Linked DNA regions of Arabidopsis thaliana. The protein of the gene in region 3 interacts with the protein of the main gene of each other region in a pairwise test. Each region holds a gene or a part of one and is shown on either strand. Other genes may lie near its edges. The genes, in order: GF14 PHI, TFL1 and FD.

What was found.
Region 1: the proteins of FD (region 3) and GF14 PHI interact in a two-hybrid assay, tested with the Arabidopsis thaliana proteins (one study listed by BioGRID).
Region 2: the proteins of FD (region 3) and TFL1 interact in a two-hybrid assay, tested with the Arabidopsis thaliana proteins (2 studies listed by BioGRID, with this or other methods).

What each region holds. Positions count from the first base shown.
Region 1 is NC_003070.9:12,860,904-12,871,744, forward strand, and holds GF14 PHI (GF14 protein phi chain), read left to right. Parts: upstream 1-6,222; 5' UTR 6,223-6,360; coding exon 6,361-6,855; intron 6,856-6,945; coding exon 6,946-7,068; intron 7,069-7,152; coding exon 7,153-7,269; intron 7,270-7,458; coding exon 7,459-7,611; 3' UTR 7,612-7,987; downstream 7,988-10,841. Other genes in the region: AT1G35150 (General transcription factor 2-related zinc finger protein), read right to left, coding at 3,255-3,350, 3,423-3,584, 3,656-3,804, 4,200-4,906, 5,070-5,335; AT1G35170 (TRAM, LAG1 and CLN8 (TLC) lipid-sensing domain containing protein), read right to left, coding at 9,835-9,939, 10,159-10,254, 10,614-10,733. UniProt on the Arabidopsis thaliana protein: Is associated with a DNA binding complex that binds to the G box, a well-characterized cis-acting DNA regulatory element found in plant genes.
Region 2 is NC_003076.8:1,019,697-1,029,902, reverse strand, and holds TFL1 (PEBP (phosphatidylethanolamine-binding protein) family protein), read left to right. Parts: upstream 1-4,030; 5' UTR 4,031-4,106; coding exon 4,107-4,316; intron 4,317-4,526; coding exon 4,527-4,588; intron 4,589-4,794; coding exon 4,795-4,835; intron 4,836-4,922; coding exon 4,923-5,143; 3' UTR 5,144-5,403; downstream 5,404-10,206. Other genes in the region: AT5G03850 (Nucleic acid-binding, OB-fold-like protein), read left to right, coding at 1,167-1,361; AT5G03830 (CDK inhibitor P21 binding protein), read right to left, coding at 9,774-9,813, 9,881-9,937, 10,025-10,206. UniProt on the Arabidopsis thaliana protein: Controls inflorescence meristem identity and is required for maintenance of an indeterminate inflorescence. Prevents the expression of 'APETALA1' and 'LEAFY'. Also plays a role in the regulation of the time of flowering in the long-day flowering pathway.
Region 3 is NC_003075.7:16,999,291-17,010,272, reverse strand, and holds FD (Basic-leucine zipper (bZIP) transcription factor family protein), read right to left. Parts: upstream 5,752-10,982; 5' UTR 5,528-5,751; coding exon 4,820-5,527; coding exon of another isoform or gene 4,793-4,819; exon of another isoform or gene 4,685-4,792; coding exon 4,607-4,684; intron 4,393-4,606; coding exon 4,321-4,392; 3' UTR 3,965-4,320; downstream 1-3,964. Other genes in the region: AT4G35910 (Adenine nucleotide alpha hydrolases-like superfamily protein), read left to right, coding at 79-165, 441-562, 664-742, 843-1,237, 1,408-1,456; AT4G35905 (Trm112p-like protein), read left to right, coding at 2,206-2,306, 2,399-2,453, 2,912-2,989; LARP1c (winged-helix DNA-binding transcription factor family protein), read right to left, coding at 9,863-10,126, 10,370-10,441, 10,953-10,982. UniProt on the Arabidopsis thaliana protein: Transcription factor required for the transition to flowering promoted by FT.

The DNA.
Region 1 (10,841 bases), on a different chromosome or scaffold from region 3:
TTCTCCCACAGATTTCTTCACACGATCCACTTTGAGGCTTAAGTCTTCTCCATTTGCAACCATTAGGTATTGGCGCATTCCTTCTAAGACTTCTGGGACTATCCTTGGTCTTCCAGTCAAAGAGTCAAGACCCACTTGATCTTCCCTTAACACCCCAAAAAGAGGAACAGACACTTTCAAAACCAAAGCCTTCTTCGGTTTTTCCACCAGTTTGCCCAATCTTCTAGCTCGAGCATCATCTTGTCTTTTTTTCACTAGAACAGGGCAGACATCCTTTTCATGAGTAAGCCTCTGACATTCATAACATCTTTTTTGGATCTTCTCATATTGGAAACGGACTACAGTAGCTTGAAGTTGTGACCTTTCAGGGTCGAAGGCTACTTCCGTAACCTGACCTATGAGGTTACCAAGGGATTTGATAGCTGGGACAGTGAAGTTGTTAATGGCCAAATTCCAAATTTGAACCTAGATAGGAATGAATTGTAGATAGTTTTCAGGGGGATTCTCATACCATCTGTCAATCGCAATAGACCACTCATCAAAGATTTGGGCACCTTTTCCCAGCACGTCTTTGAGATCGTGAGCATTCTCGAAAATGAACTGAAACTTCTCTCTAGTCAGAGCAATACCCTTCACTCTTCCTTCCTTCTGCCATTTCCTTGGCATATCTCGAATCAGACGCTTCATCTCTTGACAATCGGGATTGAGTAATCTCCCAACCAAACTCAGAGCATTTCTTTCACAAGAGGAGAATTCCGGTAGATCCGGCATATCAAACGGCTGATCTTCTTCTTCTTCTTGTAAAGACATAGCTAACATAGCTTTATCCATAGCCGAAGACATTGTTGAACACTTAAACCAACTAAAACGAACCCCTTAAAGAGAGTAAGAAGTCCACGGAGAGGAATCAGCCCAAACTCAAGGATCCAGGAACAAGCGGGGAAAGAAGATAAGACTTTCTAAGAGACTTACGAACAAACACTTGATAACTTGAAGATTAGAGCTAAAAAGAGAGGCGACTGCTAAACTTTGGACTAACTTAGAATAATACACGACTTATTTCCTCAAATGCTCTCTTCTCAACCCTAATGAAAGACATTAGACGAGAAAGAGGGTCCTATGCCTAAAAAGGGATTCCGTGAAAATTTTGGTCGAAGCTCTAAATTAACATATAGATTTGGTAGGTTGATTAAATAGCAAATTGGACTACTCACCAAATAAAGTAAAGCTAAAGGGCCCATTGGTTTTGACTGTTAATTTTGGCTTCAACTCTAAAAATTTGAGTTGCGGATAATTTGGTTGTAGAGACTTTGGCTTTGATTACGTTAACTATTAGTCTGATTGGCAACAGAAAGTTGTAAAAGCTGTAAATTTTATTATTTATTATTCTATATTAATTACAAACAAATTTGATATTTAAATATAATGTTTTCTAACAAACCAATAATAATTTCAAATGTAGATTATGTTATCAATTATTTTCTTAGTAAGTTTCAATTTGTTTTTTCTCCTTTTTTTTTTAGTTATTGAATGATTCTTAATCGATTATTATGACTAATAATAATAGTATTTTTCGAAAAATATAAATTTTTGAATGATTCTTTTTGGTTGAGTAGTTGTATAGTTTTGAGCAGTCAACAATCCATTAAAATATATTTCATTACGAACAAAAATAGCTGACAGAAAAATTATTTAATGAAATAATTGAATGACATAAATATCGACTGAATTATACATCTTATATAGAGATCTTTACATATGTATGTAATCATTGATTTATGCTATGTTTATTATTTATGTATATGAATTCTGAAGAATACTACTTAGACCAACAATAATGGGGATGATACAAATAAACTTATTATTTATGAAATGGATCTTAAAAGAAAAGGAAAATAATAATAATAATTAATTTATCAAAAAAATTGTGAAACAAGATATATATAAACTTGTAGAGACTTTTAATTTATTATGGAAAGAAGAAAAAAAAGTTTTCTACACATTTGTTTTAACAGCCGTGTATTTGAGGCTTTTAAAAAGAAAGAGAAATAAGGAAAAAAAATAAAAAAAAATGGCTTTAAGAACTTTTTAAAAAAATAAAGCCAAAAAAGTTTGATTGGTAGAAAAAAAACTGTTGGAGTTTAGAATACTCTTAAAGTCCTAAAAGTCATGTGCTATCTTGTACAATCGTATAATACTATTTATACATGTTTTTCTCGAAAAGAGCTAATAAACTTATGAATTAGTCACAAATTTGGTTGAAGATTAAAGATTGAACTCGAGAAAACCAGCATTGACACAATTACAAAAAAATGTCGAAAGTCATCCAAACTAAACCGAAGGCTAGTTGCCAAATTCTAGAAACCCTAAATTAAATTGTTCATTTCTTCCCTTTTTGCTTTGCTACCGTGGTCGAACGGGTTTCATCGAGCATCGATGTCGGATCTTTTACCACCATCTATGAGGGAGCTATTTCATGACATAATTAAATTACAAAAACCTCTTATGTCCGGTTGCCTTTGAAGAACTAAATCACAAGGCTTTTAGTAAGTATATATCCTCTTCTTTGAACTAGTCTATGCTGGATCTTTGTTTTGTTAATATCATCTTTTGCACTGTAACTTATTAAACTTTCAGACTTCTCAATCCACGAAATTTTTGATGCGGAGGAGCCAATGCCGGTTCAATGTTTTGCGAGACCGTAAGCAAGATTAAATTTTTTTCCCCCTTTTAAATGCTACTTAAATCCATACTGAAAACAATTTTTTTTTGAACTTCAAAAGAACAATCAGAAGTTTAGACATATAAAAAAACATAAAGAATCAAAACTAAACCAAAACATAAACCAAGAGATAGAAGAGAGAATACATAAGTGTCGACCACAAGCTAATCAACACTTGAATAAATTTCTACTTAGTAAATATGATCCTTCTTGAATTTTTGTCCTGCAAAATCATCCATCACAGTCGCATAGTTGATATTTTCAAGCATTGCTCTCTCAATTGATAATATAGCTAACCCATTCAATCTATCTTATGACATTTTAGACCGCAAATAATTCTTGATCAACTTCAGCTTAGAAAAACTTCTTTCGACGGAAACAACTGACACTGGAATGGTCAATAATATCCCATAAGAAATCCATGTGTTTGGATAACAACCCCCCATTCTTTTCAAAAAATCAAGCACTTCAATAGGTTTCTTAACTTCATTTGGTAATACTTCTCGTAGAACTTTTATTTCCATAAACAAATCTAGCCATCTATATCAGAATGCTCACCATGCTTGAGGGATGATTCAAGGTGCACACAAGATGCCATTAAACTTTCATCACTTGCAGATGTCAATTTCTTTAAATCAAACAGAAATCCAAAAGTTTGTTCGTACCTTTGGAATTGCTCAAATCTTGACTAAAGAGAAACTAGAGCTTGATCTATGAGTGTGAAGAAGTAATTAATTCTGAAATCCTCCTCTGGTGACAAGTCCATATTCTCATCTCCTTTTTCTGAAACTTCATCAAAATGCTTCTTTCTTCGAATGGTCCTCTTCTTCTTTACAAGAAATTCAGCTTCTATATCCATATCCTCTGCAAGTCATACAACCTCAAACTTTCAATCTCAAATCTTGTCTCTCTATATTTTTGAAGATATGAAACGAGTCCTTTTAGTTCGATAATAGCAACATCAATATCAATGTCAGCCGATTGTAAAGTCTTGCTCACTCGGTTGACAACAGCTAGAAGATCATACCAAAGAATCATACCAAAAAGAATCTCAAACACTCCAATACCATGTGTTTCACTCTCTGCAAGGCATTCACATCACTTCGTGTTTTTGGATCGTCGGTCTTTTCTGCCAAATAAAGTAAAGCATCTCTGATTTCAAGAGTTTGAAAACGTATGGCTTTGACACCTTCGAGATGACTCTCTCAACAAATTTGAGATGAAGATTTAAGTGTTGGACCTTTTACCATCTCTTTAAATATATCCCACCTGTTTGTTGAAGATACAAACAAACAGTATACTCGCTGTAAACTCCCAAAAAAAGACATTGCCTTTGTCGAAGAAGATGTTATATCGCAAAGCACAAGGTTGAGGCTATGAAAACCACATGGTGTGTAGAATGCTCTTGGATTAATTTCCAACAATCTTCTTTGTACTCCTTTGTTTTTTCCTTTCATATTAGATTCGTTGTCATAACCTTGTCCTCTCACATCATCAATCTCTAACTCCATATCAACTAATGCTTCTTTAATCTTAGAGAATAACCCTTCACTTGATTTATCTTTCACTTCCAAAAATGTCAAATAAAACTCTTCAACCTTCGTTAACGTTGAAGAAATATTCACACATCGAATGATCATAGTCATCTGTTCTTTATGACTAATATCCGGAGTACAATCAAGAATTATGGAACAGTACTTTGAAGCATGTATTGTCTTCATGATCATAAGTCTAATCTCACCGGTCAAGATACCTATTAGCTCATTTTGAATCTTGTGACTTAAATAATGAGAATATATCTCAGCTGCACCAATTCTTCTGATATGCTCTCTCATTACGACATCAAATTCTGCAATCATTTCAATAAAACTCAAAAAATTCCCATTTCTGTCTTGGCCAACCTTTTCATTTTTTCCACGAAATGCTAAATTATTTTTAGCGTGAGTTTTCACCAATGCAATGATCCTTAGGAGTACTTCCCTCCAATGAATATTATCTTTGTTTATTGCTTCTTGGGCATGCTTATCAATCGTTTTATTTTTCTGTAGTCTAGACTCTAACTCAGCTCGACGAGTCATACAAGTAATGTGATCATGGCTGCCTTTGTGTTCTTTGAGTCGCTTTGAAAGATTTCTCCAATCATTGTACCCGCTAGTTGCCAAGTAACCACCTTTTTTGTCATGTCTCAACAACTTACAACAAAAACAAAAGACTTTAATCTAATGCTTTTGAGTAAATCAACCATCTTCTATCTTGTTTCTCCCCATTCCTCATTTCTCTTATGTAAAATGTTTGAGAAAAATGCCTACCAATACTATCTTTACGAAACCGGTAATTAGTTGATAACCTTGTCGCTAGACCCTTTTCAACTAATAAATCTCTGAATCTCATATTCATGTCATCCCAATTTACTGGATCGGAAATATTGGAAGGAAGTTCTTCTTTCTGCCCACTTTTCTTCTCTTCATGAACAACTTCATCTTGATCTTTGTTATCAAACTCATTCTCATCCACTTCATTCGTCATCCAAACTGTCCACATTATTGTTGTTATCAAGCATCTGCTTGGAGGAGCCAATGTAGGCATGTGCTCTCTCTTCTTGTTATCAAGCATCTGCTTGTGATATTTTTGTACAATTAAGCTAACATAACTTTAACAAAAAAAATCTGTAATAATAAGTTTATATGTACAATCTAATTCCAACAAATCAAATACTAAACTAAATATCATTGATCAACTAATTTTTTTATTTCCTAAGAACATATCTCTTTAAAAGAATTGTTTGAAGTTTCTTCCATTAGAATAAGTCTTGTGAAAATTTTATTTATTACATCATTAAGTAAAACTTCTTTTAAATTAATAGGTTAAACAGTCTATATATATTTAGTTTTTTTTTTTGAAAAATAAAATAAATTGCATAAAATAAATTGGCACTAATTTTAAAATAAAACGTTCTAAAGATATTTTTTATACAATATATAATAATTAATAACCTAACAATTTCTTTCTTTTTTAACAAAACAATTTCAAAATTCAACTTAAAAAAAAAATTGCTCAATCAACAGAAATTACAAAATGCCAATATGGACGTAAAAGGTCCATTAAGGAATCAAAATACAACAAAGTAACTTTTTCCACATAAAAATAAACTAAGGGCATCTCCAACGCACAGATACAGTATGAGTTTCTCAATTCTATTTTTTTAATCAGTTAATAATAAATATATTATTTATTTAAATTTTATATTATAAAGACAAAATCTGACCAATCATAAATAACAAGGGGTTGAGTTGGGTTTCTCATAGTTTCTCATATGAGAAACGTTTCTCTTTCTTTCTCCACCTTTTTCATTACTTTTTATTTTTTTAATCTCCAGATACTCATTAAAAAACTGCTGTTGGAGATGACCTAAAAACCGACCCAAAAAGTATCAGAAAATTCCCGTGTACAAAATTTAATCCAACGGTCCTCCTTCCATCTCCTTTCGCAATCGTCGCTCCCCACTCAAACAAAAACCAAAAAAAACAAAACTATCTTTTAAACCCCAACAAAAAAAAAATTGAAATTCGAAAACAGAACAAAAAAAAAAATCTCTCTCAATCTCTCTCAGATCTGAATCCATCCATCACCGATCTCTAATGGCGGCACCACCAGCATCATCCTCGGCGAGGGAAGAGTTCGTGTACCTCGCAAAGCTCGCAGAGCAAGCGGAACGTTACGAAGAAATGGTTGAATTCATGGAAAAAGTCGCTGAAGCCGTTGACAAAGACGAACTCACCGTCGAAGAACGTAATCTCCTCTCCGTCGCTTACAAAAACGTAATCGGCGCTCGTCGTGCTTCCTGGAGAATCATCTCTTCCATTGAACAAAAAGAAGAGAGTCGTGGTAACGATGACCATGTGACCACGATCCGTGATTACAGAAGCAAGATCGAATCTGAGTTATCGAAAATCTGTGACGGTATTCTTAAGCTTCTTGATACTAGACTTGTTCCTGCTTCTGCTAATGGAGATTCTAAGGTTTTTTACCTTAAGATGAAGGGAGATTATCATAGGTATTTGGCTGAGTTTAAGACTGGTCAAGAGAGGAAAGATGCTGCTGAACATACTCTCACCGCTTACAAAGCTGCTCAGGTTTATTCTCCGATCTGGAATTTTGTTGGATCTCATTTCTAGGTTAAATCATGATTTGTGTGAATCTGTGTTTCTTTTGTTTGTTTGTAGGATATTGCTAATGCTGAATTGGCTCCAACGCATCCGATTCGTCTTGGTTTGGCTTTGAATTTCTCTGTGTTTTACTATGAGATTCTTAATTCTCCAGATCGTGCTTGTAATCTCGCTAAGCAGGTGATGAGAAAGTTTCTGATCTATTTGGGATTTGAGTCATTGTGTTGGTACTACTCTATGTGTATTGATATTGAGATATAACAGGCGTTTGATGAAGCCATTGCTGAGTTAGATACTCTTGGAGAGGAGTCATACAAGGATAGTACCTTGATCATGCAGCTTCTTCGTGACAATCTTACTCTCTGGACTTCTGACATGCAGGTAAACGATCGAAACGAAACCGTTCTTTGCTTCATCGAAACTGCTGATAATGGTTATGATAGAATAGTTTTGGAATTGTCCACCAACATAGTTCATTGCTGATAATGGATATGATAGATAGGCTTAGTGGCTCATGATGCTGGAATTGTGCACACACATTGTTCATAAGCTTTGAATCAGATGGTTTAGTTTTGCATTATGTATGATAATACTCTCATGAGCTTCTTGGTCTTGATCTCTGATTCTGTTGTGTTAATTTCGACGATTAATCAGGACGAAAGTCCGGAGGAGATTAAAGAAGCAGCAGCACCAAAGCCTGCTGAAGAACAGAAGGAGATCTAAGTTTGTGGTTTCTTTTTTCAGTATTCTTAAGTTATGCAATTATAATTATGTTTCTGCTTGGTGTTTATTTTCTAATCTTTCCTTTGCTATCCCCGAAGCTTCTAAGGCCGTCTAATTCTTGTCCTTTGTTTGCTTTTCTCAATCGTGGATGCTACTGGATTTCTGTTTTGTTTTACTTCTTCTCTTGATTGATTGCATTTCCCGGCTTATGCCTTGTACTTGAAACTCAGTTTTCTCTCTTATTAATGATTTGCCATTCACCTGGTTATGCGTTTTTGTATACATGTGACTGCGTTTGCAATTGTGTTTTCTGAGTTTGCTTAGGTTATGCACACACAATTTACGCTGTTTGAGAATGAGCGCTTGCTAATACTGATACAGATTATTACAGGAAACACTGACCTCAAAATTTGCGTGAATTTCGATGAGATTTGCGTAGGAATAACAAGTGTTGGGCATATAGGTTTGAATCAAATGGGACTTACCAAAGTTTGTATCAACCTCGTTCACCAGTTATTGTTTTGCAGACCTCAACCAAAAGTTAACATGAACGAGGTCAATACCTCTCAAAAGCTGATTAATTGATAGCATCACTCATAGTAAGGTAGAGATTAATGTTCAAGAAAACGTTAGGCGTTAATTGGGCGGTAACCCAATGCAACGCTTCATCGGGTCTAAACAGTTTTAGGCGGTTAAAGCGTTTATAGTATAAAATATTATAAATATGTTATTATATGTAAAAGTTATTTAAAACATAAATTAAAAAATAAAAATCTTAAATTTACAAAACAAAAAATAGATAAAACGTACATTAATTCATATCAAACAACATTTGAACATTAAACTATATATATGAAGACAAAATTTAACAAATTTGAATTTGAGTAATTAAAATTTGGAAAAAAATATTAAAACGAAGCATATATAATCTTAGGCGGTCGAAACTGTCGTTTAGGCGTCATGTGAAAACCTAACATTCGATCTCTACGTTTTCACGTCCGCGGGTTACTCTAGAATAATTTGAAATGAGTTTATAGATCCATGTAGAACCCAAATAAGTTTGTGATCTTCCTAAATGAATGGCACATGAAAATATGCCAGACAACAATTTTTTTGACAGAAGATCTTAAGCTCATAAGATGTAAACTTCAACGAGCCATCTCAAGTAACCATAGATAGCTGTCATGGATTGAACATTAATGTAAATTATTTATTTGCAATAACATTTTTAATATCAAATTTTTATGATTGTGTCCCTAATTTGAATACCGTCTAGATCCGCCAATAAGCAAGACTTGGTAAGGTTGACTTGAAGAAATTTTACGAGATTTCTTTCCACTATTATTCTTTACATTCTTGTTATAATGGTTTTTCTACCTTTTTTTAGTTTACTTGTGATTTTTGACAAATAAAGCTGTTACTTTGGCTAAAGATTCCATTGATTAGTTGTTTTTTTTTTACTTTCCTTGTTCCTTTTTTTTTGAATTCAAAATTTTATCTCAAAACAAATCCTATATATATATATTAATAATAGGAGAAAATGTCATTTAAATCATCAATTATCTTTGACAAAAAAAATGATCAATTATCAATTTTTGTTAATTTAAAGCATAGTCTACGTACCTCATAATTAAAATGCTCAATTTTTTGTTGACTTTTAATTTAATCGCAAATTTTTGTTGACAAAGCCAATTGAGCCACATCGTAAACTAGCTAAACGGAACAATTAGATGTTGTTATGTGTCTGTTAATGAGTCTATTAATTAGCTAAACAACGGTGTTTTCAATCATAAGAAAACTCCTAGATCGATTAATCGAGGAGAGTTTCTTTTAGTAAAAACGGCGTTGTTTAGATGAAAACAACTTCGTTTAGCTATTTAACATACACATAACAGTGTCTGATTGCTCCGTCTAGTTAGTTAATGATGCGTTTTAATTGGCTTTATCAACAAAAATATTTGTAACTAGATTGAAAGTCAACAAAAAAAAGAGAGCATTTTATTCACTAAGTACTCATACTTTAAATCAACAAAAATGTAAATGACATATTCCTATAAAAATATATATCCGTTTGGAATGCTCACTAACCAATAACCTCTATCAGACAAAATTTTATAGATTTTCATATCGTTTATTTTCTTTTAGATTAAGTCGACATTTTGGATTCCTTACATATAATTTACATATAGAAAAGCACATGAGTCATAATATTTGGAATTTCAACTACGTCGATTTTTTGGTGGACATTGATCGTTTAATAAATTTGTATCTCATCATTTTGAGTAATTTATAGAACGCGCTCACAAGTTGTAATCCCAACCCCATTACCTAAGAAAATAAGAACACAAAAAAACGCACATGAAATGTTATATCTCAACTGAAATTTGTGATCATGAAAAATATTTTAGCATCTTTTCCTAAACAAAATCTTCTTTTCAGTTTTGAAAGTTTCACATTTTTATAAAACTATGAACAATTGATGAAACAATAATAAGTATAGCCTAGAACGAAATGTAAATCATATTCATCTATTAAGATACTGTATACCTTGATGAGGATGGGATTATCAGCTGGTATTGTTACGTAAACTAGGTAAGGTCCACCCACCATTCGGGCCACCGAGAAAATTGTTGCAAAAAACACCTCCACAAAATAATGATTATTATTACGTAATTCTCCCGCCATAATATTATAAATTTATTTTAGTTAACATCTCTAGATTTAGAAACAATAATATCGATTTCGTAGCCATAATGTAGAGTGTTTTTACAAAACTTGCAAGATTTGACAATAGTTAACGTGTTGGTTTTGTATATTTATTCCTAGAAATGATAGCTAGCTAACTCATTAAGAACTTATCTCTAACAATCTTAATAATTAACATCTCTTGATTTTAGATTATCTCAAGTTAAAATGTTAATAACAATTTTCTTCTAAGCATTACTAAATAATTACTAATTATAATTCATATAAGAAAAGTATGTATGTATGTAAATACTCACATCGGCTGCAAGATTTAGGTCGGTGTCTCTACAACCAATCTCTTTAAGAATCTCCCTGAGGTGAAGAAACGGACTTGAGATCTCTGTTATCCATATTGCTGCCACCATCTCGGATCCACACTTTAAATCCACCATATATTCACAACAAAAAATAAGTTTATTTAGTTACTTAAGATCCAACTTTTCATAGTACATAATCTACAAGACTACAAGTTACCATTAAAAACG
Region 2 (10,206 bases), on a different chromosome or scaffold from region 3:
GTCATTGATCGTTAGCGATTCTAAATATTCAACTTGTTTTTTTGCATTGTTATGTGGATCTATCATACAAGTTTCTTATTTGAAATTTATTTTTCTTATTATCTTTTTAGTTTTAGTTTTTAAAATTTTAAATAATAGAAATATGGATGATAAATTTACAATAGGATGTGAAAACTAACCGGATTTTGGATCCCGTCATAGATTGTTAGGATTCCAAATATTCAACTTGTTTTTACATTGTTATGTAGATTTATCATACAAGTTTTTTTATTTGAAATTTATTTTTCTTCGAAATTTTAAATAATAAAACATTGGATGATAAATTTAGAATACGACGTGAGAACTAATCAGATTCTAAATCTCGTCATTTGATTGTTAATGATTCTAAAAATTCAATTTGTCTTTTTACATTTATCATACAAATTTTTTAATTTGTTTTTTTTGTTATTCCAAAAATTCAACTTGTTTTTCTTAAATTAAAATTCAGTGATTAATTTTATCGTAAAGTGTAATTGAAACCAAAGAAAAATAAACCAAAGTAAATGAAAACGCCATCTTTAACGAAAAAAAAATGAAGAAGAAGAAGCAATGAAACAAATACAAAATTGATAAATTAAGCTTGGATTTGTAAATTAAACATAAAAGCATGGATTCGGTCAATCCAAATTATTGAACCGGCTGGGCGAAAACAAAATTAAAATAACTGAACTGATTCGGTTATTGAAAACCGAGTACCGAAATTAAGCAGGCCTATAAAATGCAAAGAAATCCCTTATTCTTTCGTCTCTGTAAAATTAGGGTTTTTGCCTCTCACGCTTATCGCCGCATCTCCGTCAACCTTCATCTACAGGTATCTTCATCGTTTACAAATCTTGTCTGTTGTATCTCGAATCGATTGCTATCTCTTGTACATTTTCTTCTGCTAAATCTGTCTTGTATCGAATCTGTTATTTGAAGTTAGCCCCTGTTTTCTTAGATAATTGAAACCCTAGTGTTGCTCCTGTTACGATGAGAAACTCTGAAGATTGAAACTTTCATAACAAGGAATTCTGATTGTGATAATCTCTGTAAAGTTGATTGCTTTACATGAAACTGTGTACTGATTGTGTATGCATTTGATTGATGTTTTAATGTGAATTTTCATGGTTTTGGTTGATTGAATCAGAATGGATTCTCAGATCAAGCACGCTGTGGTGGTTAAGGTCATGGGTAGGACTGGTTCAAGGGGTCAGGTTACTCAGGTTCGAGTGAAGTTTACCGACTCTGATCGTTACATCATGAGGAATGTTAAAGGACCAGTGAGGGAAGGTGATATCCTCACCTTGCTCGAGTCTGAGAGAGAAGCTAGGAGACTTCGTTGATCTTCTTCTTCATACTCCAAAATGCGGAAACAAGAAAACATTTGGTTATTTCTCTTTTGCTTTCTTTGATTGGATTAGTGGATTATGCATTTGGAGTCTTAATTTTGTTGTTGCTTTAAGACAATTGCTGCTGGATTTATAAGTTGTTTGGTATTCAAAATCTCTTCATCCCTTTTTTATATTGTTCATCAAGAATTTGCTCTATTCTCCATCTTGTTCTACCTGAATCATGTGTTTTGGGTTATGTTTATAACTTGGGTAAGCAGTGGTGTGGTCTTGCCATCGCCACAGATCTTGGATTCGTAGAAGAATGGTTATATTGGTTTGGTTTTTCCAATTGAAAATCGAAGCTTTAATCGAGTCCAAAATGTCTCTGAAATGTATCAACCAAAACTGATATAGGAAGCTACAAGGCTAAGATAAAATTTGAAAGCAAATATGTTTCTACCCTAATGTTTGAAATCTCTGCTTCAAATTAAAGTAGTACTCCAACCAGAGCAGCTAATACCTCATCAGAATCACTTTCTTCTACCCTGGTCCGTTCTGAGTCCAACCTTGATTTCATCCGTGGTGGTAAGAGTCTTAAGACTGTAGCGAGTGTAGACTTTAGTTTATTGATAACATCCCTACTTTGTCACCATAGTGACCAGGCTTCTCGTATTTGAGTTCTATGGCTCTTACTTGCCAAAAGAGCTTCCTTCGTCAAAGAGGTGTTTTGGGGTCGCCAAAGTTAATAACCAGAGGCCGGGGATAGAGAAGATTCTTTTGGGGGGGTTTGGGGTCGTGACTCATGTCGTAAGTTGTTGCTTGCTACATCTTTTGGATTAAGCTTCACCTAAGCTAAATAGCTAGTTGATACGTTGTCTACTTTTTTTTTTTTTTTGTCGTTGATACGTTGTCTACTTGTATTGAGCACATTGATGTTTCTCTTTTCTTTTTGAAAATTCGATTTATCTTTTTTTTTTTTTCTAAATTGTTAAAGGGTTGTCTTGTTTGGAGAATTTGTTGTAGACAACTTTATATAAGTTTGATATATTTTGCTTTGTGCCTTTATTCTGATTAATTACCAAATCTTAATAAAGCATCAATCAAGACTTTCTAATATAAGAAAATAAATAAATTATTATTTAGTGGAGAATCCATAATAAGTTAATAATCATTATATTCAATAGGACAAAACCTTTGGGTGTGTTTATATTAGTCTACGGATTTTCTGATTTGTATAACACTTTTGGTATTTCAGATTAATAGAGTATTATGGTTGAAATATGCATTCGTAAAATCTTCGGAAGTTTTAAGGTTTTGTAACTAATAATCATATATAGAATCCCAATTTGAAGAATCGGTTCTTCACGTTGGTTTTATTGATTCGATAAAAAGAAGTTTTTTTAAGAATCAATGCGACAATGCGTTGTCGTTCCACGAGCAAGGAGTCCCAAATCTGCGATATGTTTCTTTCAAATAGCCTCTGAGCTAGGCCTGGGCATTCAGTTTCGGTTCGGTTGCGCATGGTTTCGGTTATTTCGGTTATAGTAATATAAGAACCATTTGGATATTTGAGGAATTTTGGTTCGGTTCGGTTCGGATATCTTTCGGTTCGGTTCGGTTTGGATATTAAACTTGGTAACCATAAATAAACTAAAACCGAAATAACCGACTAAAAACCGAAACAACCAAAAAATTTGACCAATAACCGATATAGAACGTACGTAAAAAAGAGAAATATTCACAACTCACAAAGATGGTCCATACTCTCCATAATATTAAAACACCTGATTCACAACTCACGAAATTCAACTTGCAAACTAATAAAGAGAAAAACATAGTTAAGTGTCAATACATACTGTGATATATTATCTATCATACATATATGCTTTGGTTTTCATTTGGTTATCGGTTATTAACCTAACCGAAACCGAAACCGAAATCTAAGACATATAATATTCAACCGGTTATTTTAAGCTATCCAAACCTGAACCGAACCATGTTTTTCGGTTCGATTCGGTTCGGTTAATCGGTTAGCGGTTTTTTTGCCCAGGCCTACTCTGAGCAATAATTGTATCCGGAGTTGTAATAGAATCAAAGTACGATGAGAGTGTTTTTATGACAAATATCTTAATCTTGGCCAATTATATGTTCTACTGAAATTCTTTTTGAATTCATCGACCAGTGAGACTTAAAAATAGCTTTTTATTCGCCGAGGTATATATAGCTAGGAATTTTGTCGAAATTTAGACGTTAGTGGGTTTTGTTCTTCGTGACACAAAAGATATTCTATATATTAACGAAATCTAGCGATCGATATGGTATTTATATAAAGTCTTGGTCATAGATAGGGGTTGAAACTTGAAACCATGCATGATATGCCAATGTTGCTGAAGCAGTCAATGTTGCTGAAGAAGTCAAACGTAATTATATAGTGAATACCAAAAAAGTGATATTTCTTAATTCAATTAAATATAATTATAGTTTTAAATCACCTAAAATAAGTTACTTATTAAAACCCCCCAAATTTACTTTAATATAGTTGGTGTACATGTTTGAGAAAGCAAACAAAAAGAAAAAGAAAAAGAAAAAAAAAAGAGAAAGAGGTTAGTACACATAATTGGGAATTAATGTCTATTGATTCTTTTATCTTTCTCTCTCTCTCTAAGACGGAAAACCCCTATAAATAGATGTCTCGGTCGTCTCTTTGTCTCCCAAATCACTACAAATCTCTCTTTTCCTCTAAGTTAACAAAAGAAAATGGAGAATATGGGAACTAGAGTGATAGAGCCATTGATAATGGGGAGAGTGGTAGGAGATGTTCTTGATTTCTTCACTCCAACAACTAAGATGAATGTTAGTTATAACAAGAAGCAAGTCTCCAATGGCCATGAGCTCTTTCCTTCTTCTGTTTCCTCCAAGCCTAGGGTTGAGATCCATGGTGGTGATCTCAGATCCTTCTTCACTTTGGTAAATACATATATTTAAATTATTTTATAATAATGTTGGTTTTATTTATATTGTGCCAAAAAAAACCATATAAAACGTCTCACTTCCTTTTCCTCTTACAAGTTTTCCATTTCTAACTCAATAATCTTATAAATTGTAGCTTTAGTTTTTATCATTCCTTTTTCCAGTCTTTTTTTTTTAATGGTAAAACTCAACCGAAATGCAAAACAGGTGATGATAGACCCAGATGTTCCAGGTCCTAGTGACCCCTTTCTAAAAGAACACCTGCACTGGTACGTTTAATTTATTTATTCTTTCTTTTCATTTTGGGCCCATATTCCATATACATTGCATTTAAATCATTTCGTTATAACCCTAATAAAGTTTTTTTTGGGTGTAAGTTATATACATTTGAGTTGGTCAAAGATCTCCATCGCCATGAGTTCTCAGAACTTTTTCTGTAAAGTAATAATATTAGTATTGTTGAATGTTTCAATAGGATCGTTACAAACATTCCCGGCACAACAGATGCTACGTTTGGTAAGGCCTCTTCATGAATCTTGTAATTTAAATACTTATACATATATCATGTTATATAGAAATAAAAATATTTGCATTGTAATATAGGCAAAGAGGTGGTGAGCTATGAATTGCCAAGGCCAAGCATAGGGATACATAGGTTTGTGTTTGTTCTGTTCAGGCAGAAGCAAAGACGTGTTATCTTTCCTAATATCCCTTCGAGAGATCACTTCAACACTCGTAAATTTGCGGTCGAGTATGATCTTGGTCTCCCTGTCGCGGCCGTCTTCTTTAACGCACAAAGAGAAACCGCTGCACGCAAACGCTAGTTTCATGATTGTCATAAACTGCAAAAATGAAAGAAGAAAATTTGCATGTAATCTCATGTTTATTTGTGTTCTGAATTTCCGTACTCTGAATAAAAACTGCCAAAGATGAGTTGAATCCGAAATATCAATTGAGTTTACAGAAGTATTGATAACGATCTGTCGATTATCAGAATAAAAACTAGATTAATTGCATATCATGTTTAGCATTGTAATACTACAAAAATAGTAAACTCTTGATTAATTAATAAAATCTAAGTTGCTGTAGTATATAAATCATTAAATCCTCATACATGGCTTGATAGGTCACATCACATGTAGTGAACCTTATTATATGATAAACGTGGAGATACGGAAAAGGATAGTTAAACGATGAAAACTTTTTTTAGTTCTGGTCAAAGTGACAAGACCTTGATGACCATCTAAAATATGATCCTCTCCTCTTCTTACTCGGCGATCATATTCATATCTATTTTCACGGCTGGTATTGTGACAAACAACCACCTTTTATTTTCAAAAAAAAATCTAATAGGCATATGTATATTTCTCTATAGGGACCCTTTCTCTATATATATATTTATTACATTCCAAAATTCAACGTCAAAAATATAGATTTATTGGGTATAAATCCCTCACTAGCGTAGACATGTCCGCGGTAAACAAAAAATGTCTCTGCCTACAAACTATATAATTCGAAACATATTAGATAGAAAAGTCAGTCTTCAATAAAATATTTATTATATGTATATATGAGGTATGAGATATAGTTTTTTGTCAAGAGTTTTAAGAAAAAATATCTATATTCAACCGAATAACCATTAAATAACAAGTCTTAATCATTAAAATGCTTACAATATTTTCATATTTTTACTTAAGATTTTACTTTTTGCTACCTTGCAAGTTGCAAAAGTATAATTAAGTAATTAACAGTCTAGTTTTTGACAACAAGAAGAAATTAGCATTCTACATTGATTCAGTGTTCAAATGGAGAAAAGTTTTTTTTAAATGGATTGGCCATTTTGGGTGTATAAAGAATATAGTACAGCCTGAATGATAGACCCATCTTTGAGAAATGAGAGATGCAAGTGGGAAATATTAATTTCAACGGTAAACTCAAGAGAGATCACGTGTCATTAATTCAGTGGTTAGCGGCTAAGTACTGTTACAATTATCCTCAACGCCGACCAACTTCTGGTTCTCTACATGTATATTCGCTATCATATAAACAAATCTAGCAAAATACGACTAACTTAGTAACTTGTTTCGATTTTGTTAGATTACTATTACATAGTTTGGATTCTCGTTTATTAACAAATTACCAAATATCATAAACATTTTTCGTTCCAGCTCAATGACTAAAGGTATTGAAATCGAGTTTAAGTTCAATGTGGGTTTCAATCATTTTATTTTATTTTTGCTTAAGAATAGTCAAAGCAAAATTGATCAAAAACAAACTGGTTTTGGTTTCATTGTGAATTAAAAAAAAAAAGGGATAAGATAAGGGTTATCTACACATGTGCCATAACAAAATCTTATGTAATTATTGCTTCCAAGACTTCAGAGCTAAAATAAATAAAGAAAAAACTGAAGAAAAAACAAAGAAGTATATACAGTACACCTACGTAGGCAAATTGATTCGCTACCAAATCAAGGGCATGCAAAGACTTTAGGATTTGCCTGAAAAAGACACTGTGAACTAGAACATTATATAGAGTTTTAGGGTTTCAGTAACACATAATGTGCCTGTGTTGTGTTTAGCCACTTATGGTTATTTTCATAGCTAAATATTTTTCCAAAAGTGAAACACCATTTTTATTTATAAAATGACTGGCCCCTCGCGTTTGGTGTTATTACAAATCAACACGTGCTCTGTTCCATTCCATCCCTGATTTTACTCAAAATTTTGCTACATCTAAATATATTTCTTATTGCCAAAATTGAGATGGTGATTGGTGTCAGTATTTGGGTATGAATCGTTTTGAACTAAAAGTCTAAAACATTATGTAGAGTATTAGGGTTTCAGTAAAACATAATGTCCATGCGTTGTGTTTAACTACTTATGGTTGTTTTCATGGCTAAATATCTTTCCAACAGTAAAACACACTTTTTATAGCGTATTTTATTCATAAAATGAGTGGCCCTTGTTATTACCAATCAACACGTACTCGGTTCTGTTCCCTCCCTTCTTTCACTCAAAAATTTGCCTAATCTAAATATATTTGTCATTGCCAAAAATTAGTTTACTGTTTGGGTGTGAATCGCATCGAAATGCTCTTCGTATGTGTCATAAAATGAAACTGAAAATCGTTTTGAAATTCATAAATACGTATTTAAGAAAAATCGTTCAAACATATGATCTCTCTGCCAACTGCCAAGTACATGTATTATTTGCTTATACATAAAATTTAACTAAAACTCATTTGAAGATCATTTATATTCGTTTCATTTCTCTTTTCATCAAAAACCAAAAATAAAACAAAAAATCTAAAATCAAAAAACAAAACTGTCATGCAAAATAAAATATTGTTATAAATTTGATGTATCTGATTTATAATTTATGCAAACTCAAGTCTTGTCACAAGTAATTACTTTCTACATGTACGAGCATAGTTATTTCTTTTTCATTTCACGGTACACATTTTTTTTTTCACGGTACACATATAAATCACATCATTCAAATCACGCATTAACTAACGAATTATATCTACCGGTACATAGATTTATAAGTACATTAACATCTTCTATTTCACCGGTACGAAGCCGCAAACCTGGTGATTAACCAGCAGTGGAAATTATTAGCCGCCATACTTCGGTTTAGAACGACTCTCGAGGACAAACCAACATGCAATAACCTTACGATTAAAAGAGACGACCTGTCGTGTTGCATGTAGTAACAAAAAAAAAAAAGAGAAAGCAAGAAACATACTAACCCTTGGACCGAGTCTACTGGTCCTTCGTATAAACACATAAATTCTAATATTTTAAAAGTTTAGGGCTTTGTAACATAGAAAGGCTGTCTAAATTTGATTGGTTAACGTGTCGAAGAGTCGTGCTAGGTCCCCTCATGTGTTAAGGTTTGATCCTCGTATAATATATACTCACAACAAGTAACCAACATAAAGTGAGGAGGAGGTACATTTACACATACATGTAGACAAAGTAAATTCAATAATTTAACCAAAAAAAAAAAATTCTAATAAAAACAATTTCCATCTTTATAGCTAACCCATAATATTGTATTGCTGTTACAAAAAAAAGGCTATATGGATTTCAATCAATCCTCTTTTTTGTGGAAAATTTTGAGTTTCTTTTTAGGATCTAAAAATACTAACCAAAGTAAAACTGAAACGAATAATATGTTGTTGTTAGGGATAATTCTTCCAACAGTTTCATCTTCACAAGATCTCATTTTAATATCAATTTCGGATTGGTCCAGTTAGAACAATTTTATATACATATTTGATCATATCAGTTTTTGGTTTGGATTGGATAAAACGTGTGTTCATATTGTGTTACTATGTTGAGTTTTATGAGTTTTCAATTCAAAATTAATTTACAAGTAACTAGATTACCTATGTTTTGTGAATAAAATTAATCAAATCGTTCATCAGTTACAACTAAGAAATAAGAATTATGATTTGTATAACTATTTTCTATCCAATATTTTTTTTTAAAACATAAAGATTCTATGTAAACAAAAATAAATCATATATATGTTTTCTTATAAAAATATCTTCAAGTGGTAGGAGCTTCTTCTGCGATGCTTTTGTACTGCGAAAGCTGCAAAAAACATGTGTCTCTTTCTCCTTTTTCATTTTTTTCTGGTTTTACTTTCCTTTTTGTTTGTTTTCTTTTTTTTCTGTTGCAAATAACTTTGTATTCAAGCTCAAAGACTTTCTTTTGGAAGAGTCTATTTGTTACCAAAGTAAAAACATCACAAGCAAATTGTCTTTTGGGAGAGTCCAAGGGTTGACGAAGAGAGTAGATAACACATTTGCTGTTCACAATCTTGGTTCTGATTTACACAATCTAGCTCGAAATTTCTGGTTAACATGCATAGCTTTGAGATCATTTATACATAGCCAACTATATTGTTTATTCCCAATGATCACCACTGTATTCCAACGCGCTGTGATCCACTAACACATACTTGAGTATATTTTGTCAACACTACTGTTTCATCTTCTGAAAATGTCTCATTTGAGTATATCTATACACATACTTTTATAAGATAAATACAAAGTTTACACTAACTCGTGCATTTAACTTTAGTGTTATGAATCAAATAGACCAATCTACATCTGTTTCTAACTAAACTTCAACACTTACAATTAAGAATCATTGATAGCATTTCACACTGTTTCATATAAACCCTTGAGCAAAAAAAAAGAAAAGGTAGTAGACCAATGTTTCAGTTCCACTAATATGCAGGGGAAGAAAGCCTGAGAATGACAAAAAATAGCACTGTAATAACCTCATCAAAACTGGCAGAGATCTATAACAACTGACCGGTGAGCTGAATCTTTAAGAAGAAGAGATGTTCATTATTGTTCGTCAATGAGAGACTTCAACTTCTTTCTGAATTCAGGAATCTTTTGTGTCTCCACGACCAGCACTGACAATTCTTCAACTACTAGATTCGCCAATCGCCATTATAACCAAAGATTACAAACCTGAAACACTTGAATCAAATTTTTGTGATTCCAGGGAAAGTATGTTGGCATTAAAGAGATAACTTACCTCTTGAGATGTAACAAGCTGCGAGTACATAGGTAATATGAATGACCAAGAGCTAAGCTGCAATACATTTTGTAACACATGTTTAGGGTATAACTTTTTTTGCTAACAGACGGGAAGTCGAGTAGGTAATGTGAGAATAAGTACCTCGAGAAAAATTTCATCTTCAGGCTTAAGTTATATTGTTCCTCGTTCTCTTCTTCACCACGACATTGTTGAAACAAGAAAGAGAATTCGAGAACCGGAAAAAATAACCTTACCAGAACACTTACCTTGTAGATCTTAGCGATTAGAATATATGACTTGAAGCGGAATGACCCTCGAAGCTC
Region 3 (10,982 bases):
TGCTTTTGTTTCTGTCTGGGAAAGAAATTCAGATTTGGAAATATCTTTTGTTTAATGTTGTTTGATAAACCTTTTTAGGTTGCCGCTGAAAATGGGTACAATAGATTAGTGTTGGGATCATGCACGTCGAGAATTGCTTCCCATGTTCTTACGGCTACTGTCAAGGTGTGTTGCTTAGTGCCCTGACTTGACTCGTGTTTCCTCTGGCTTAGTTATTCTATAGATTGCATCTTAGAGTGAGAACTTCATGCCAGAAAGCAATCAATGGCTACCTTAAAGAATGTAGATATTTTGGACTTAACCAATTACATCTCTAAAAATTGAAGTTTTGGTGTAAAGATTTTATTTCAGTACACAATGTTTTGTGTACTTTATTTGGACATTCCCTTTAGACTATGTTCTATCAGAATTGTGAGTTGAATTGCTTTTTCTTGAAACAGGGACGAGGTTATTCACTATCAGCAGATATTCAGCATGTTGATGCTAGATGGAAGGTTCCCATTGTACTTCCACTTCGAGATTGTGTTCGACTGGAAATAACTAGACTCTGCCTTTTGGATGGGTTCGTTTATTGGCTGCCTAGTCTACATTGTATTGTTATAGTGAACCTTATTCTTGCATAATCCAACTATTGAGTGACGTCACATATTCTGGGCAGGGCAGACTTAAGACTGTGGAGTTGGCTTGTCGTTCTCAATGCGGAATCAATGATTTGGTGTCTTCATTTGTCGCTCTGTTGCAGGTTCAGATAATGTTCATCTTCTGCATATGTTTAAGTGCATGCATGGTTACCTGTTACTTTGTTTTTACTGATTCATTTGTCTCTGGGTTCTGTTGTGCAGGAAGAAAATCCTTCCCGGGAATGCACAATTGTACGGACAGCTGCGAAGCTGACTCCATTTTACTTCAATAAAATTCCGGAAACAGACGACTCTAATGTACCTATGGCCACTCAGAGGCGCCTAAAGAGATTCAATCTCAAATATGATGGATCAATGACTACTGAAGCTTTCTGTCCTATCTGCAATGGCCCGCTAAATAGATCAGACTCATCAGAGTTGGATACTTTTGAAGAAGGCCAGGAATCTGATGTCCTCTATGCTGCTTGCTGTTCAAGTTGCCGGTTTCAAATACTTCCACAGGATGGATCATCTCTTGAGCAATTCAGTTCATTTCTACCAGATCACATGATTTCCCAAGTGAAACATCAAAAAGTTGATAGTCAAGCTTATCTGAGGTGAGTAGTATGCATTAACTCTGATCTCAAACTTGGATTCCTTTTCCATTCGTTTTACCTACATTATTGGTAGTTCATGTCTCTAGGAAGCATCAGATTTAAAACAACCAAGATCAAGACTGAGTGAAACACTATTTGAGATTCCTAACATTGGTTTCCATTTATTTCAGGGAGAAAATTAAAGACTGTCTGCTCTTGGACGATGAAGAGGTTGTCTAAATCTGCATTCGGATGCTTGCACAAGGTATGAGAGGAAGTTTAAATCCTGTCATGCTTATCAAGGATTATTCCTAGAAACCTAAGATCATCTTAGTTTAATGTCGATCTGATATCATCGTAGATGTTAAAAGTGTTTTTACTCATTCGTTACAATGATTGTCTCAATGTGAAGCAAAATCACTGAGCAATTGAATGAAGCATCTACAGTTTTACACATATAATACAAGAATCATGGGAAGTTTACAATTTGTAACACAAGTAGTAAACTTGTTAGGGGTGATGCGAGAATCAAGTTTTGTAATATTTCTATGCGCAGAATCAGAGATTCAGGAGCATTAATCTAGAGTGCAAGTGATCAACATCTTCCAATAGCTGGATAAGAAATCTGTGTAAATTCTAACCAATGTCCCATAGACATTATAACACGAAGCGCTTAATGTTTGATCAATTTATAAAGTCCGACGGACGAATGGTCAACAAATTAGAATTGAGGGCATCAAACAAGAACTATAAAATATAGAGGCTTATATTTGAAAATTTTCTCCCCTAGCTAGAATAATATATACACATTGAAGGGACCGTTTGTGAAACATAAAAATTGAGGGGCATGGTTGGAAACTTTTAAATTTATAGGGGCGTTTTGCGTTTTTACTCAAAAAGTCCAAAACTATCGCTCAACGCCGGTCGATTCTACCGGAGATCGGAAAAAAGGAAAAAGTCCGGAGAGAGCTAAAGATCAAAGCTTTAGAATGGTGAGACTAAACAGAGTGCTGCTAAAAGACGCCGGCAATGTAATTGACAAGACCCTCTCCGAGATTCTGGTGTGCCCTCTCTCTAAGCAACCTCTGAGGTTCGATTTCTCTCCTTCAAAATGTACATAGCTTAAATTCGATTGGTCCCGAAGAACTTGTTTAAGCAATTTGGTGAATTGATTGCTGATAGGTTTTGCGAGAAGACGAAATCACTTGTCAGCGATACTATTGGTGTCTCTTTTCCTGTAAGCTTCTATCCAAAGCTTTTTGATTTTTTCGATTCAGATGCTTGTGAGCTGTTGAGCTCCATGAAAGTTAGATTTATGGCGCTTATTAACTCTCCAAACAGTGAAATTGTACGAAATCACTATCATATCTGCTTTCAGAATCATGCTCTCTTATTCAGTGAACATGTTCTCAACCCAACTTTGATCTTTTAGGAATTGTCTAATCAAAGATTGAGATGTGTATATATATATAGACTTTGATTCTTTCATTATTCTTCATTTGCTTCATACTAAATAATGTTTAAAATGAATTTATTCTTGGTGTTGATTTGGGATTCACTGATGGAATAATCATATGCTAAAGTGATTGGTCGGCTGTTTTCTTCTTAATGATATTCTTCTTGTTCTTTTTAGATTTCACTTCATGTTCACGATTCAATGTTTAAGACTTGATTTTGCTTCTCTTAACACGCTAGATCAAAGATGGGATTCCATGCTTGGTTCCAAAGGATGGAAAAATACTTGAGGAGGAAGGTGATGCATCAAAAGCTTAATGACTTTTGCTTTTGCACCCAAAAAGAAATAAAATGGTCAGAGTGAAGGTATCAGCTTGTATCTGCAGCAACTTATCAATGGTTCGTTCTGTCCTCTGTACTAGTTACCTGATCATCTCTTCTAAACTCTCTTTTAGGCTTGTGGCCAAGTTCTGGTAGCATTTTTAAGTATGAATGTTTGATGGGAAACATTGATGTAACCAATTGAAAAACATTATAGGTGTGTAGTTTCAGGTGAATAAACCAACTTTTTCGTTTAAAGTTTCTTGAAGTCTAGGATTCTTATTGACTGGAATGAAAGTAGAAGCATGATTTAAAGTATTGGATGCCTATTTGAGGGGCTCTAAGTGTAACCATATAATGTGAGGATAGATTCTAGTCATAGTCCCACTTTTGGTAACTATTCTTCTTTATCTTAATGTCCACTATATTTACACCATATTAGCTCTTGATGTCCACTTTTGGTTGCTTAAAAGAATACACAGCAATATATCAACAACCAAAAGTGGATCAACAAGACTTATCACTGTCAGGTAAATGAAATTGGGCCAAAAGAAGATAAAAACTATTCTCTTGATAAACCAAATGAATACAAACACACCTAGTGTTTTTGATGGTGACCAGTTAGAGCAAAAGCTACAATACTATGTACTATGAATATAAATAAAACGTGGGGAGTGACCATGCTGAATAAGAAACTTATCATGTTCTCTCTTGACCAACCCGAAAAGTGGTGAACTTAATTCCCATTGGCTTGGAGGTTTCAAAATCATATTGCAAGTTGTTGGCTTGTATGGTAGACAGCCAAAGGATTGGATATTTATGTGATAATGTGATAGGGAGAAAATTAAATGTTCAGTGATAGGTCCCCTTCTCACTTTTCTCTGGTATTGTCATCATTTAAGTGGAGCACTGTTTTGTCTATTGGTCATTTGATCCTTTGCTTCTTTTAAGAACCAAATTGGTTAAACAGTAAAACATAAGGTTTTTTTTCTTACTAGTATTAGAAGAGGAAGTAGAACATTACTACAACAAGAATACAAGTAGAAGTTAGTACAGAAGTGAAAAAAGGGTTTGCATAGGAAAACGACAGAACATTAAGAGAGGACCCAGGACAGGTGTTCCTGTGCCTTAGGAAATTGAAAGATCCTTTTCTCTTTCCGGGTCTTTTGTTTTACATCTTCTTTTTTCCCCTACAATATCTTAGTTCTACAATTTTAGGCTTAGTTATACTTATAGCTAATAAAAAAGGGTACAAACTTTTGCCATTTTTTCACTTCTTCATGAGACAATCTCAATCCCCAAAAGAGAAACAAGGACTTGTAGATTTCTCAAAATGGAGCTGTGGAAGACCGTTGAAGTGTGTTCTTTTTGGGTTGCTGAATTGCTGCAGCCATTTTTAACTGCACACACACACACACATAATAAACACACAACTGAAGTATCAGAATCTAACCACCCAAAATGTCATTGGACAAAAAAGTGTGTAAAACAAATATACTCCAGAGGCTGTCTGTCTGTCTCTTTTTATAAGTTGGTTAAACTACAAGGAATTGATCTAATGACATGAGTGCTACAAAAGGGTAAAACATTAAGAACTTGGCTCTGCTTGTTTACCTGATCTTGTTGTCTCTTGAGTCTTGCATTTTCTGCCTGCAAGTGAGCAACTTCAAGTTCTAACTCGTTTGTATAAGCCTGCAAATGAGAATCAAAACCAAGAGACCTTTTTTTAGATCAAAAGCAATTTGATGGCAAAACCACATTTCTTTTCTTCCCTTTTTGATACACATGAGTAGAAGAAGATTAGGAGGGAAGAGGAGAGGCACATTCCTGTTTCCTAGCGCGGGAACGAGCTGCAGATTCTCTGTTCTTGATCATACGCTTATGTCTTCTATTCCCTGAACCTTCATTGGAATCTTGGCCTCTTTTCTTACCAAAAGAACTGGATGGAACCAGAGCCTCGAAAGAGGTGTTGAAGGCATGAGCGTTTGAGAGGTGATGGTGGGTATGAAGATTAGAGTTTGAGGTAACAAGAGGATCTTGGTTATCGAGAAACTCGAAGCCAGCGCCGGAATTCAAGCTCAGAACAGTTGCAGGAGGTGGAAAAGGAGAGCTGTAAAGAACAGTGACCGTGGTGGAATCGCCATTAGGCGCAGAACCCGTGGTCTGGCTTGTGGGTGCTGGTTCCTGGTTCAAAGATCCTTTGAGAAAATCTTGGAAGATTGAGTTAGGGTTTTGGTTGTGGTGGTTTTGGCCCCTGAACCTTGGCTCGTGGTTGTGTTGTGGATGAGGGCTGTGTCGGTTTAGGTGGTGGATGGAAGCAAGGTTGATGTCATTCCAAACTTCTTCCATGGTGACAAGAGATCTCTTCTGGGCTTGAGAGTCTTGAGAAGGTAAAGGAGATGATGATGAGGTTGATGATGATGAAGAAGAAGACGATGGTGATGAGGATGAAATGGAAGAAACTTTGGTGAGAGTCTGGTTCTTGTTTGTAGCAGAGAGTCTATGGTTTCTCTGATGCTTAGCTGATGACAACATTGGAAAAGAGAACAGAAGTGAACCAACAACACAGCTTTAGTCTTTGGTTGTCAATTGTCTAGTAGTATCCTACACGCAGAGAGGGAGTAGAGAGAGAAAGTGGTGAGAGCTCAGAGAGAGGTTCTTGACTTTAGCCGGTCATTTCTGGAATGATGGGGTTGGGTCCAAGACTCCAGAAGAAGAGACAGAGGGATTGAACTATTTCCAATTAAATAATATATTTCAAGAAGAAGAAGAGAAATTCCATAAACTATTATATGTAATTAAAGGTGTTTGTTGATGTCTTCAACGTCAGAGTTATTATAAAGATTAAAAATGGTGTTTGATTATTTCAAAAGTGAAGTATTTTTCATCATCCTTAAATGTAAAGAGTGAGTGGGGGTGAGATGCTTGTAAAAAGCCAGGCAAATATATAAAATTATTTTTGGTTTTATCTCACTTTCTATTTTCTAATATCAAATCCCTTTGGATCACTTTCAACTTTCATGTGTGACTTTAATTTTTGTTCTTGCTCTTAGATTTAAGGAAAATTTGCCAAAATACACTTTTTTCCCCTAAGGGTATTGACGAAATAAAACATTAAAAACAAAATGAAAGTAGATAAGAATATATACATCTTTCTGTATTAGAAATAATTAAATAAATTCGTTTAAATATATAATAAAACACAAAATCCTAACTACTATACCAATAAACTCAAATGTAAAAATTTCTTCTGTTTTTTTTTTGTTTTTGGCAGCAAACATTAATTCCGTTAGAATATTTCATTCCTCTTTTCTTGATGTGGTTAATATATTTTAAACGAAGATAGAATAATATTATCGAATATAAAAAGTAGTACTTGGGTGTTCGTATATGTAATTTGTTTCTATCAAAACTAAAAGTCTGAAAATTATATGTTTGATTAGTACAAAAAAACTTTATTTTATATGAGATTCGGAGTGTTTAAGAACGGGTCATTTGCACTTAACGTTTTCTTAAATATGTAGTTGCAAACATTTCAAATAATATCGACCGTATAGTTGAAATGCATTTAAATAACAAAAATATTGTTAACTATTGAATTGTTCCCCACTTCAAATCATTGGTGTTCATGTCATCCAACGAGATTTGATCAAAGTGTCAATAGTCTGTTTTACAATACGGATAGGGAAATCAATTTATGTGGGTCTCCAACTCTGAACAAAACAAACATTACAAGTGGATAGTAAAGTATTAGATTTTATATGACCAATATAGTTTAGATATTTATGTTGATTGTTTTGAAGATTAGAGACGAATACTAAACTAGTTAATAATTAAGCCAAGTAGAAGATGATACATATTAATAAATCTTTGATCATACGTAATAAACAAATAATATGAGTACCATCCAGATATCTAGATATTCGATTATCGTATCTACTATGTAAGTCAGTCTCCAAGTGCATATCTAGTCACGCTTTTCAAATTTTTCCTTTATTGCAAGTTGATTATATATAAACTATAATAACATACGATATTTGTTTTTCTTTCCTCTTCTCTTATTCTATTCAACAAGATTAACTATTCATTTCCGTACATGTATATAATTTTTTTTCTCTGAATGTTGAAATCAGCCCTCAAGGAAACGTCCCATCTTTTGAACATGCAAAGAGTACTACATTAGGAGCTGTTTATCGAAAATGCAAGCTCCTCAAATACTCATATTTGTTAGAAGATATATATTTTCCATTTGTTGGTGAAAAGTACAAAGACTTTAATTTGTTTACATGTTTCCAAACATTGGGTTTCAAAATACATTTTGAGTTTTTAATGTGAAACACAAATTTCATAGATCTTTGTTGTCGTTTCGCAACCACCAAAAATTCGAATGTAAAGAGTAGTACTTTTGTTAGTATCGACGTCACTACGCATATTCATTGACGAAAATAAAACAAATTTTCCCAGTCTCAAATCATTTTTGCAAAATAAACTCAAAATAAAGTTGGGGTATAGTCTGTAACGAGTGAATTCAAATGTCCATTGTATCATAAAATTGTGCAGAGAACTTGTAAGTTGTATAAGAAAGGAGTGTGACATGTCACGTCTCAGGGGATTGGACAGGTGTCAGCACTATATTGCTCTGTCCCAAACTCCATCAAATCTATTTCTCTGTCTTTTAATATCCTCTTTAGTTTACTTTTAAACAATGCATATAAATGGAAACAAATTCTGTTTTAGCAAGTTATATAAAATTTTCCGGACTATCATACAACATGAAATATGCCTACCAAAAGTAGTAAGTGCAAAATAATTCATTGTTTTATATATCTCGATTTCCTACAATTATAAAACATTGTTTGGTGGTGAAGAAATAAAATACTAATTACATCTCTATATATTTAGAGACGTAAAAGGGTTTAAGATAGACTCGTTGGCTTGAAAAAAGACTCGAACTCGGTGGACAAGTGATTTGATTTGATGAAGAGACAAATCTCAACTTGTTTTTAATTATTCATGTTCGTTTACATTCAAATTTATAATCCAACGAACAATATGAATGACCCGTGAGTTCAATAACCGTTGGATTCTGTAAGTCTACTGGTATGTACAATCATCATCTGTCCGTAGGTTGTCTCTAGACCGTACGGAAGCAAAGTAGACGTAATAATTTACTGCTAAAATTAGCAATAAAAATAAATAAAGGAAAAAACTTGGAGTTGAAAGAGCCAAAAGAATGCTAACCGTTGGATAGTCAAGATGGGTGGGATTGTGTACTTGACATCTCCAAAATGGTAAGAATAATTGAGACAACTTTCTATATTTTTGGTGTGTTTTGTGAATTAGGGTTTACTATTTTCTTAGTCTATCAAGAATAGTTCTGATTTTTTGTTTCGCATGGATTGTGACATTGAACCTATTCTTGGGCCGTTTCTGATTATTTTCCACATTTGGGTGAACATATAGAATATTCTGATATTATGTGAGTGTTTAATTAGATATAATTATGACTAAATCAAGTAGAGAGGGCCTTGGATAACTAGATCGTCTTAGACTTTTAGGTGTAGAAAAGTCAGCTTTCATTATTACGAGAGATCTACATTATACTGTTATTACGTTAAGCTTAATTCGCTGCAATAATGTAAAACATTTATGAGAAATAAGTAAGTACCTAACTAGTCAAAAAGTGAACCAAATAATTTCAATATGAATTAACACACATGTGAAAACTGATGATAACAAAGGGAAAATTTCACGGTTAAAACGCTATACACACTATGAATTATTTATAACTTTTGAATAGACACATTAACCTTTTTGCTACATTGTATTTAAACTTATGTATGAAGTTGTGTTATTTTATTTTTATAAAACATAGAATCCATGCTATTTATAAACTATCATACTTACGAAATGCCTTATAAGACACATTAACCTTTTTGCTGTTTTGGTAAGTTAGTGTTTAAATAATCTTGTAACATACGAAATGCCTTAGGCTGATTTTGCAAATAAAAATAAAAATACAGTTATTTCTTGATCGAACTGAAAAATACAAGAACAGTTATTTAATGTTATTACTTTTAAATTCTTAATTACATAGCGACTCTCCAATTTTTGTATTTTTTTAAATGGTTTACTGTTCCATTCAAAATCATACACAACATAACACAGCAGTACAATGCCAGCCAGTAGAGCGTTAAAGCACGTGTTTGCTTCATGTTCACAGCAAAGCAAACCACAAGACGCTGCCGTTTTTGTACATGTTTTTGGCGTGTTACTTGTTCGTCTTACAATGTTAGGTATAGAAATTCAAATAAAGGTACACTTTGTTTTTTTCTCACACCGACGAAGTTGCTAAGGTATAAGAGACTCACAAGTCTTTCTCTCAAGTAAAGTTTCTTTTTGCTTGAAGAATTAGAAGAGATTCACGAGTCTACTCCTCTTATTTTAACTCTCTCAAACCCATAAAAACAATCGAAATATTGAAATCCAGAACAGAACAAAAAAACAGTAACAGGGGTTATAAGAGAGTATTAGCAAGCAAAACCAATAAATCCCAGACCATAACAATGGCTACAAGCAACCATAATAATGATCATAGCATATGTAGCATAAACATAAAAAAAAGTTATTAGCATCCAAAAATAACCAAAAAAAAAAAGAACCCATAAATATGCCAAAGTTTCCGCTAGCTAGAAGAATCACAAATGTTTGATCCTTTTTTTTTTTTTTTCATATGCGTCTCTTCTCTTTATGCTTTTATCTCTTTTCTTTCTTTTTTGATTCCCCTTCATTATTGTTTTCCTCATTTTGGGCAAGACAAAATAATATATTCATGTCCAACACTAACCAACAGCCCCCAAACTTGATGGTTCAACGGTTTGCACCATCTGGGGCGTTGTGGTTGCTCACTGGAGCAGTACTAGAAGACTGTTGCTGATCATCTGAAAGAGCTTCTGTAGGTTGCAACTGACTGCTCGAACCACCAATGGGATCAGCCGAACTCTGATCAACTGACAAGTTTCCAAGTCGTTTTGCCACTGCATCTGCCCTATCAACAGATTGGGGGCCGGAACCTGTAGGGTTCCTCCTTAGCACCCAATTTTGCCAATTATCGCGCTTCCTTATGAAGTCACCCTGAGAAGAAGAAAAAAGTATGTCCAATTAAATAAAGGTAAAAGTTTTCCAAGCACACAAAGAGGTAACACGAAGATTATTTTTTCAGTTCCACCAGTTTTGATAAGCTATCTCTCAGAATAATCAAAATCAAATACCTAATAGAAAGGTTTAAGTTCAATCACACACTACCATACTACTAGCAAGGAAAGACGATGGAATTCAATAGTTTACACATTAAAGGACACATAATACAAAAAATACCTGCACTTCAACATGAGGTGAATTTTGAAGAGCCTCCACTATCTGCTGGATATTATCTGTAAGTTCTGCAACCTGAAGTAGGAGAGAGAAAAAACAAAACATAGATAAAATTCACAGAGAATAATAACAGAACTCTTGACGAGTACAAAGCAACAAAATGTTATAGTAACTAGGATAAGGAAAAAGAAAAGCAAAAAAAAATTGGTGTAGAGCCTACTGTGCAGCTAGCTAATAAGTCCTACTTGTTCAGGTTCAACATTATGCAACACAGTATATAAGAACAAACGAAGGATTCACAATCGAATTTCTCAATACATGCCCACTGTTAACATATTTCAACTATCTTAAGAGCATATCCATTTGCTGAAAGTTTGTACATGCATGCCACATCTTTATATAAATAGTCACAAAAGAATCAAAGATCCTATTGGACTAAGTAGTAAGTACAAATTCGCCTTAATCCTAATCAGTAAAAAAAACATTTGTTGAATTATACAGAAATGAAACTCTTAATTCTACTGTTTATAATATAAACGGAGAGAAGTGAACTGGGCCAGTATGAAAGACAATACATCTAGTTTACCTTTTTGAAACCAGCTACCACACGTAGCGG